2 linked regions of the Drosophila melanogaster genome follow. The gene in region 2 interacts genetically with the main gene of each other region. Each region holds a gene or a part of one and is shown on either strand. Other genes may lie near its edges.

Evidence for each region.
Region 1: of sna (region 2) and Imp, changing one enhances a phenotype caused by changing the other (phenotypic enhancement), as found in Drosophila melanogaster (one study listed by BioGRID).

What each region holds. Positions count from the first base shown.
Region 1 is NC_004354.4:10,820,467-10,826,108, reverse strand, and holds the start of Imp (IGF-II mRNA-binding protein), read left to right. Parts: upstream 1-1,831; 5' UTR 1,832-1,934; intron 1,935-3,322; exon of another isoform or gene 3,323-3,717; intron 3,718-4,291; exon of another isoform or gene 4,292-4,790; intron 4,791-5,642.
Region 2 is NT_033779.5:15,475,266-15,480,926, reverse strand, and holds sna (snail), read left to right. Parts: upstream 1-2,666; 5' UTR 2,667-2,819; coding exon 2,820-3,992; 3' UTR 3,993-4,334; downstream 4,335-5,661. UniProt on the Drosophila melanogaster protein: Essential for the correct specification of ventral-dorsal patterns.

The DNA of each region.
Region 1 (5,642 bases), on a different chromosome or scaffold from region 2:
TCAATTGCGATGACGTCAGCGCCAGGCAAAATTTGCGTTGGACGCAATAAACAAGCAAGTTCCGTTAAGATTTCAAAGTACGCACTGACTTTCAACTTTCAACCAACCCCCACCACGCAGCACGCAGCACCCAGCCACCTTCCACTGGCGTTCGTCCTTGTCCCACGACGGGACAATGTGTGGAGAGGGGTGGAAGGGGGGGGGGGGGGGTGATGCCAGAATAGAGAGACACACAAGGGTTGCAATCTAATGAAATAATAATAATAAAAAAGTAAATAAAGCAAGGGGCGAAGTCAACGGAACGCAGCCAAATTCGATCCTCGACGTGTGGCGTGGGTGCAACAGAGATGGCAAGAGTGGCAAGCGCGTAACGGGACACCACCACCCAAAAGCTGGAAGACAGCGGACTGGAACGTTCTCTCCCCCAACCCCTTCCATGCCAAACCATTCCCGTGCCAACGCACTCGCGAAAATAATTGAATGTAATTTTAAATGATGTTTGTGATTATATTACAAATGAAAATTGGGTTTCTTAGAAACATTCGAAAAGTATTAAAAAAGAGAATGATGATCTGCTTGTTTAGCCCCATCTCAAAATCGCTTCATTTCCTGCTTAGAAGGTATCTAATAGTCGCGACACTCGACCATTTTCATTTACTGTGCACTAAATACCATAGAATCCAAGCCAATGCGATCCCAACCATCCCAAATCGAAATGGAAAATCGCAGCATGGCAACGCACAGGACGCACACACAAAAATGCGTCGCAGTTGCCGCTGGGGGTGGGTGGTGGCTCTTCCTTTCCCATTTCCATTCCCTTTCCCTGCGCCTTTCCCTTTACCATTAGCGTTAAACCCTCCCAGCTCGTATCCTCGTCCCTTTTTTTTGGACTAGGCTAGGGCTAGAGCCCAGACTGAGAGTTCAGAACTCACAGCCAGCCGGCTGTAAACATTCCTGACAGACGCAGGAACGCAGCAACGCATCGCAACCACACAGCGCACATTCAGCAACAGCGATGGTGGTGGTGGCAAGCAAATTATGAGATTTTCAGGGGTTCAACAGCCTCCTAGAAATGTACGGGACAACTAAAGTATTCCATCAATGCATTGAAAGAATTCTTCAAGTCTGCCATCAGAGCTATATCTATACAATGGTACTACAAAATAGATCCCTAAGTATATGCTAATATAGATAGTCAGAGGTAGAAAGATGTATATCCTTGAAAGATCTATCTAAATGATTGTTGTATCTTAACAAATATGGCTTGAAGTTAAAGAACTTAACAGTTCGTTCGCCTTACTTCTGCACTCCGTAATCTTCTAGTTTAAGCTTAAAGTTGCAGCTCAGCATTGAGATCTTGGATGGAAAGTGCATGGGCATGGGCCTGGAACCACTGCCATTGTGCACCCATGTCCAGGGGCGTAGGGCCACATCCTCGACCTTGTCCTTGTCCCGTATTTTGGGGTTGAAAAACTACGCAAGTTTCGCTCGAAATTCGAAAACGGGACGCAATCGCTTAGTGTGTGCGTGCGATATGGTATGGGTGTAGACTCTCTGTGTGTGTGTGTGTGTGTGTGTGTGGGCTGAGTTGGGTTGGTAACAGTCGGATATATATGTACATACTTATATATATTTTATGTTTGTTGCTGCTCTGGGGTGCGCATCAGATTTAGCTGAACGAAGGAAGGAAGCATCGACAAAAAAGAGGAACGGGAAAATGTAGGAGAGCAGGAAGTAGAAATTTCGTTGGCAGCAAGGTCAGCGAGAGAGGGAGATGGCAGGAGTGAGGGAAACAGAGATGGAGAAGGCACAGTCTTAGATCGAAACACGATTGTGAGCTGCAGACTTTTCCAAGTCCCCGGAATCGCTATTCGCAGCTCACTTCCCTCGTGTTAACCTCATTGCGTCCAATCTAGTTGGAAAATCCCGTTGAGGTATCAAGTACTGTTTATAGAAATGTATCTTTCATAACACTATCATAACAATTGAATACTACACTCTCTAACTCGTCGTTCGAAAACAAACTTATGATTATAAAGGCCATAGTAACAAAGAAGCCGCAACGCAAGTCGTAAAATGCATTGCATACTTTCTGGAGTCGAAAAGTGCCACAATTAATATATGCAATCTAAACAATGGGATTGGGAAAAGAAAATAATTTATATAATTCTATTATAAGCCAAAATAATAGCTTTATTGATATCTATGCATAATCGCAATTTACAAATGCCAATAACTTGGCTCACAAGTGGCAATCGTGAGTGGAATCGAATTCACAATTTCCCCGAAAGACATTTTCCGTTCTCTTGTTTTCCTCATGTCTTAAAATTATAGTCTTGCCTTTTGTCAAGCAGCTGTGGCAGTTTGAATTTTCCTGACATTTTCACGAGCCAGTAGACAAAACAGACGGGGCGATAAAAGGGCGCAAAGGAGAGCGAAGAGGAGCGGAGAAGAGAGAAAAGTGGAGAGAAGAGCGATGAGCGAAGAGAGAGCGGGAAAAACGCTGGCGTCTCTGCTCGGGCCACCCTTGTTTTCAGAGTTTTTCCCCGAGTTTTCCGCTTGGTACTATGAGTTTTCGCTTTTCACATTTCACACTCACCCCCGTCGCAGCTGCGTCGACGTCAACGTCAGCGTCAGCGTCGACAGCGCTGCCAACAGCTAGCCGGTCCAAGCCAATCAGATGGAAAATATTCGTTTATCCGTTGCGTTTTTCGATGTTTTTCCTTTTTGGGTCGGGAAAACCTTTTGCATAGGGCGACCAGCAGTGCAAAGTACAGGTCCAACAGCTGGCACAGTGATCACCAGATGAAATAGAACAGATCAACAGAAATCATCGATCATTAAATCGGAATAGAAATGAAATTAGAAGTTAGCTATATAAATATGTAACGTATCTAAGCAAGGCCTAAAATGTATGTTAAATATATTTTGATTACCTATAGTAACTTAATAATACATTTGGCAATGTATACTGGCATAAATTAATAGTTAGCTTATTCGATTTCTTAACCTTAGATCATTTATAGTGGTCGCCGACTTTTTAGAGTGAGTGTGGTGTAAGCCGGCTGCTGCCCTTTAAAGCGGATAATGTGTATAGACGCTTGCACACAGATACAGATACGAGTACAGACACAGATACAGATACAAATATGCCAAGGAGCAGGGTCAGCCATTTTGGTTTACAACTTTCACTGTTTTGGATGGGTGGGAAAATGCGACGCCAACGCCAACGCCGCTGCTACAGCGCCGCGGCAGAGGTCCTGAGAGCAGAGCAGAGCTGAACAGAGTTTTCCTCGCATTTTCATCGGGCGCTGAGCAGACACCTTGGAAATTGGGATCCGTATATCCGGCAGGCAGGCAGTTCACTCGTCGCCGTTGCGTCAGTTCGTTCGACTCTCGACTCTCAGCTCACAGTTCGCAGTTAAATAGTTAATAGTCAATAGCTCACGCCGAACAGCTATCGAGATATTAGTGTTTTGGATTCAGATTCAGATTCAGATTCAGATACGGATACGGATTCAAACGGCGCCGCCATTTGTGATTTTTGTTGTTTTTTCTTGTATGAGCAAAAAGTGACAAAGCACAAAAAAAAAGAAAAAAAAAGATAAAAACCAGTGAAAAGCCAAAGGAAAAGCGCAAAGAAAAGTGAAAAATCATCATAAAATAACAAACAAAAATTCGACGAGAATTCTTGAGGTTTACCAAATACACCAAAGTGTAAGTGTAAGAAAGAGAAAGGAGATACCAACCAAGCCATAGAGAGAGAAGGTGAGGGAGAGAGAGAGTAAGGGAGTGGGAATAGGAGGGAGTGTTTTTCCAGCCTTGCTTTGTACGCACTCACTCACGCATCTGCTGCCGTCTCGCTCGCACCCACACAATCCAACGCCCACCCACGGCAACCCACACACAGAGTTGTCACCTACACAAAAATCAATAACGAAACCCAATAAAATAAAATCCACAACGACAGCGAAAACAAGCCCAAAAAGAAAATGTTACTTCCTGTCTAAATCAATCAATGGAAAAATCAATTGCGAACTCATTAAGGATGCTAGATTTTGATTCCAAGTAATTCTTATGGCATTTGAAAACTAGCTATAGATTGCATAAAAACTAGATTTCTTAGGGATTAACTATAATTTTCTTTTAATGCTTTAGGCTATGGACGGTAATAGGTTATGTAGAAAGTATTGTAGTATTGCAAATATAACCCATTATTGAATATCCCAAATCACACACACCATTGGCTTTGCTGTCAATCGCAAATGTCTAAAAGCCCCATACAAATTTCACTTTTCCCACTATTCAGTTTCAAATTTTTTCTCGCTCAATATAAAAAAAAAATCAAAAATTTACCCAAAATCAAAAATATACACTCACACAGTCCATAACAAGACAAGACACCGGAAAACAACAGGCAACACACCCATATTAAAGCCAAAAAAAAAGGAATCTAAGAAAGGCCAAAGGAAAGGCGAAAGACCAGACAATTTTGTTTAAACTACGTACTAGGTAGAGATATTTATAATCTGGAGAATTCCGATCAATTGGAATATTGTAGCCCAGAGAATATCGATCCTCTCGAGAAAAATTCACCGACCTCACTTTCCAATTCTAAAGCCTGAAATCTTGATGTTGAACCCACACAATTGGCAACTTAATTGAATCAAGAGCCTGCAAAGGACTGAGATCTCTGGAGCAAGAATCAGGCACCTTTATCTCAAGCAATTTCAACAGACATCCTATCCAAATCTCGAGAATAAGCAGTGCACTTGCGTCCCATTGAAAGTGTAAGTATCCTTTTCTGTCAGGATATTGAAACGGGTCCTCGAAAAATGTTACCTTGCTATAGTTCCGTAACGAACTCAATATATTGATTATATTGATATTGATAAGAGGATAGAATGAGGATATTATTCCTATACTATTCCTATTTAAGATCTCTTCTCTACAATAGTCGAGATTCTTCTAAGCAACCAAGATCAATTAAAAACCAATAACTTAGCTAGCACTCCGCCACAGTTCCTGTGTCTGTGTCTTTCATTCATATATCCGATGATAAATTCCCAAGTTTTCTTTATGCCAACTCCATTGCAACATTGTACAAAGTACAGGGAATGCTCCACAAGTGCGATTATAAATTGTTCAGAATGTAAGCGGCAATGATTGCGGAGGCTTCTCTGTAGTTGAACGCCGAGGTTGCGTGTTTGGCGTCTATTTTAAATGTCGACAGCGCAAGATGCGCGTGGCATGAATGAAGCGTCTGTCCCGCCTTTCAGACCAACAACCACCGCCCCCCCGCCCCCCCAACGCTTTTTGTTGGCCCCCTGCTCGTCTTCTTCTTCTTCTCTTCCTCATTCTAATCTGGCTCGTCTGCTTCTAAATTTAATACATTCTCAAGTGAGGCGAAATTCATGGAAGATGCGAATAAAATCGGATCAATTTTAAAGTTCAACAGCCGCTGAAAAAGAGAGAGTGATATATGTATATCCAAAGAAATTGGGAATTGCAGCGATAGAGATAGCAATATGTCGGTGGGGCCAGAATTAGAAGCAGACTGACAAAGAAATAGGTGCCAGTTTGGTCAAATTCCTTAGCGTTTCGCAATTGGGAGAGGGTGGTTCATATCGTTTAGATGCCAA
Region 2 (5,661 bases):
CTGCTTCTCCGATCTTCGATTTATGGATCGCAGCTCCTTTGTTCCGTGCCAAAAAAAGGAGAGCCTGACCTGGGGGTAGTATAGTAATCAACAATTCATTGTCAACGACATCACACATCGTATATCTTGGGCCATAGTTTGTTTTCCTTGGTGGTATCCCTAATGTTCGTTCCTTTCTTTTTCTCTCTCCTCTTTATATCTTCGTTTTTGCAAAAGGTTCACCAGGCCAGGTGACCTGGATATACTGTTAGGCTGTGATGGCCTGTGAAGGAGTGGGGGTTTTGGTTAGAGAAACACAGTCTAGGAAGCTGAAAAAACAGTTACAGTTATCCTTGGGCGAAAATGTGATATGATTTTTCTGAGTGTTTTATGCGAATATTTAATAAGAAGAACAAAACGAAAAACATTTTTTACAAGCTCCGTAACATTAATTATGAATAAAATTACAAAGTTCAATGTGTTGTTCTTAAAATACATTTCGATCATCGTTCATAATGTCTCCTTTTTGCACTGGTTGTCGACCTAGTTCTGTTTTGTGACTCGGATTTACTATTTCGCATGGCTCCTCTTCGAACAATGTCAGTCGAGCTCTGTAGATCCCTGTGTTCCCTCTTCATTGTCAACTTGAACAAATGAGCCAGGGAACAAGGTGCAAAAATGGGACGGTCCTATTCTCAGCAAAAATTGACAAGAACAACAACAATGTCTATGGAAAATCGAACTTCATCCCAGCACCTGCAGAAATCCCGAGCGAGTCGGGGAAAAAGTATTTAACCCCCGAAAGGGTTTTCCCCAAAATAATGAAGTAATGAATGAAGCGGAAAACACTGGCCGCCAATCTACCTAATACTAATGAGCGGGCCAACCCGACCAGGAATTTTTGCAAGTCAGGTACTTCAACGGATATATGGGTTCGACAAGTGCGGATTTTCCCGCGACATCAATGAGGACTTGGCCGGGTTATCCGCGGTGCTCATCGGGCAATTCCGCGGCCGAGGACTTCATCGTAGTGATCATTAGGTAGATATGTGCATGGATGTGACATGGCGATCATTGCGCGGAATAACACACGTAATAACCGAGATATCCGGGATGACCCACCAGGTAGGATGTGAGGACATATAGAAAACCCCCAGCCAGTTTTTCCACTCGTCGTGGCTTGTTTTGCTTGAGTTTCGCTGACTGCGTAATTGGATAAGATGGGAAATTACTTTAAATCCTTCGCTGATCCACATCCGGACATTCGTCGAAGGAAAATCCATTGCAGGGAAATACGAAATGGAAATGCGGCTGGGTTATTGGCTCGACATTTCCCATCTTCCCTCACGCCATTGGTTGCAGGATCGCGGGGAATTGGAATTCCGCGCTGGAATTTTTTGTCACCTCTTGGGTTTATCAAAACTTTTGGGTTTGCTATGGATTTTTTCCAATTTTACCACCGCGCCTGGTTTTTTTTTTTTGACGACGCGGAAAATCGGACTTGGCTATGCGGGCTTGTCTGTTTTTCCGGGTACAAAGTCTGCATGTCAGCCTCCATGCGGGAGTGGGAGTTGGGAAAGTTTCCCATCGATAGTTGGAGGGGTGGCTTGAAAGTCTGGAGGTGCTAGCTGGGAAAGTTGTGTGTGCGCGATGAGGCAAGGAGTCAAAGATCAGGGGAGTTGGAAAGCGAGAATTGTGGGAATCGTCCAGGACTCAGCTGGATGCTGAGGGGCAGTATGATTTTTTTTACGTTATCAATCGAATTGATTTTAAGACAGCAGAACTTCACATACTAATAAGATGACCATGGGATTAGTTAAAATGTGTAACTCGTATTCGAATCGTCATTCTTTCACGGACCAATCGTGGGAACAGGAGATCTCTTCGATCCAAGCTCACAGGAGACTTGACACTCTTCGTCTATTCCTTGTCAAGTTTTTAATGACATCTCCTATGCCCTGAGCTATGTTTTCCTAGCTCTCATCGATCGCTGCCAATGAGCCACTGGAGATGATCCATAAGTCAGCGTAGAGTGCACCCCAGAGTTGACACTTGGTGTCTCGGAATTCGGCTCATTATCAGTGCTATTTTTGGAACACCTCTCTGCGAAGGTGTCATTTTTGTCAGTGCGTATCGCTCAGGTTCAACTCCCCACCAAAAACCGAATTTAGAGCATCGGCAGATGTACTTGAAGCACTCAATCTAAGTGAGGAAACCACCCCATGAACGAAGAGTACTAGGAGTCCTATTTGACTCGTGCTTAAAAATAGAAAATTACTTAGGGTGATCCATAGGTAGGGAGGCGATATTGTAACTTGCATTTCGGACCCGGACCTGCACGAGTTATTACGGGTGGGTTGTGAGCGTATCGGGAAATTGGAGAGCCACCAGATCTGTCATAACTTATACGGGGGATCCTTATTCCTGGGAGGGTGCGCCTGCGTCTGCTCTTCCGAGAGAGAGGTGGGAAATGGAGGAAGAGAGAGAGAGAGAGAGTGAGAGAGCAGGTAGAGGGAAGTGAGGGAAATACGCAATAAGGGTATGGGAAAAGTGCTGTTGTTGTTGCTAGGTAGCGACGCACACGTGCGAGTGTTTTTCTGTTTTGAAGAAGAACCACCACCAAATGGCGACAGCGGCGTCGGCAGAGGCGCAGAGTTCCGGGTATAAAAGAGCGTGCTCGACTGTTGACCTGTCACAGCCACCTCAGCTCTCGTTGAGAACGCAACCACCGCTCTATACTCGATCCCGAACTATATAACTCGCCTCTCGATCGCCGATCTCCCGATTTACCCATCTCGATCAGTACCGGAAACTAAAACTTAATCACACACACATCAAAAATGGCCGCCAACTACAAAAGCTGCCCGCTAAAGAAGCGCCCCATTGTCTTCGTGGAGGAGCGTCTGCCACAAACGGAGGCCTTGGCCCTGACCAAGGACTCACAGTTTGCCCAGGATCAGCCGCAGGATCTATCCCTGAAACGGGGTCGCGACGAGGAGACCCAGGATTATCAGCAGCCGGAACCGAAACGTGACTATGTGCTGAACCTTTCAAAAACACCGGAAAGGAACTCCAGCTCTAGCTCCAACTCCTGCCTGCTGTCGCCGCCAGTGGAGGCCCAGGATTACCTGCCCACCGAAATCCATATGCGTGGACTAACGGCAGGAACAACGGGATATACCACCGCCACCCCCACCACGATTAATCCCTTCCAGTCCGCCTTTGTGATGGCCGCCGGTTGCAATCCGATCTCTGCCCTGTGGAGCAGCTATCAGCCCCATCTGGCCGCCTTCCCCTCGCCAGCCAGCTCGATGGCCTCGCCCCAGTCGGTCTACAGCTACCAGCAGATGACGCCGCCCTCCAGCCCCGGATCCGATCTGGAAACCGGTTCCGAGCCAGAGGATCTTTCAGTGCGAAATGACATCCCACTGCCGGCTCTGTTCCACCTTTTCGATGAGGCCAAGTCCAGCAGCAGCGGTGCCAGTGTAAGCAGCTCATCGGGATACTCCTACACTCCGGCCATGAGTGCCTCGTCGGCGAGTGTTGCCGCCAATCATGCCAAAAACTACCGCTTCAAGTGCGACGAGTGCCAGAAGATGTACTCCACCTCGATGGGCCTGTCCAAGCACCGTCAGTTCCACTGCCCGGCAGCCGAGTGTAATCAGGAGAAGAAGACCCACTCCTGCGAGGAGTGTGGAAAGCTGTACACCACCATTGGAGCCCTGAAGATGCACATCCGCACCCACACTCTGCCCTGCAAGTGCCCCATTTGCGGCAAGGCCTTCTCTCGACCCTGGCTGCTCCAGGGACACATCCGCACCCACACTGGAGAGAAGCCTTTCCAGTGCCCCGACTGCCCACGATCCTTTGCCGACCGCTCGAACCTGCGAGCTCATCAGCAGACCCACGTGGACGTCAAGAAGTACGCCTGCCAGGTGTGCCACAAATCTTTCTCCAGGATGTCGCTCCTGAACAAGCACTCCAGCTCCAACTGCACCATCACTATTGCGTAGGATTCTCGACATATGAATCCCTTAGCAGGACACAATTACCTAAGCAAACTCACATTCCGCTGGCGAAGACCAAACAAACAGACAATACCTATTATAAGTTTGTACTAAGTCGATTCGGTTTTGGTGCTACTATTACTATATTTATTTCAGCTATAGTATTCTAAGTTTAAGTTCATGTATATTGCCTCATTGTCACACGCAGCATTTTACCAAATCTATTCATTTAATTATAATATACCCTTATTTATGTATTCTCAGTACTGTTAAGCCAACTGTTGTTAAGATTATTCCTAGCTTAAAGAGAAGAATTAAATATTTTTATAAAATAAAACTCACGAAAAGAAATTTATATGGTCTTTATTATTTTTAACAATTTTGAAAGAAATTCTCACAGAAGGAAACTGTATAGAAATATTCAATTTAAATTCTATCACTAATATTTGGGCTCAAATACAGACAGATGTGAATAAAAAAATTTAAAAATTTGTAACCAAAAGTTATAGAAAACATTTTAGGTAGTAACAGCATTCATCGAAACGCATTAAAAAAATGTAATCTTTCCTTCTACAGTTTCTATGTGCCTTCAAAATGTACAATAATTAACAGGAAACCAAACATCCGCATTTTGGGGTCTGCCCCTGTTCATATTTTGTGACAATTTCCGCCAACCCTCTCGAAAAACAGAAATCACAACAATAGCAATATCGAATTCTCGGAGAAAACACCTTTGGCATGTGCAAACAGGGAACCGATTTGTCATACACTTTCCTTTTCGGGGACTTCCTTCTAACCCGCCCCCATTAATAGCATTCCATCAATTTCAATCCATATCGCTCGGCGTTTTGCACCTTTTGCCAATGCAAATATTTAATTAGCTGACACCGACATCGCTTCACGTTTACATTTCTGCAATCCTTTTCCAGCATTTTGCCGAACTGATGGCGGCGCATGCGTCCTGAGTCCCTAAAGGATACCAAAGGACACCAGAGGACCGTGGAGTGCAGGTGATAAACGTAGCGACGGCTGCTTATCGAGTCCTTCCTGATTGACTGGCAGACGGTAGTTCAGGTCCTGATTGGATTGGATTACCACCGAAGCATGCTCTAAACCGAGAACCCGTCGAGGTTTATCTGACTATTTGATTAGACCCGCGCGGTGATAATACTTTAGTTTGAACAGGTATGAGGAATAAATCCAAGATATGGGTGGATATTTTAGCTTAGGCACGTATGGTTATCAAGGCAAGGTGAGTGGGTATTTGGATTCAATTTGTTAATAGCCATGTTCTAATAGATATTAGTTCAGAAATGTTCACTGATACAATTCAGTAGTTGTAAGATTTGCCAATAAACATTTAACGATTCTTTTATTATTTAAGGAAGTCCCGTAAATGTGTGACTCTAAAAACATAAATAATCGAATGCGGGTGTGTCGGAATGGGACAAGCATTAGCGACATTATGTTGCAGTTGCAACACCTTTTGGTCATAAATAAGGCTCACAAAAATCCATTCCCAGAAGGAACCAATGCAGACAATGACCAATCATTCCAGTTCTACGGTAATCAGAGCGCGTTTCTTGTGCAATTGCAAAAAACTGCAGCACAGATGCAACTGGTCACAATGCATCAGCTGTAAGGAAAACACCTTGCCGGGTGGACAATGGCTAGA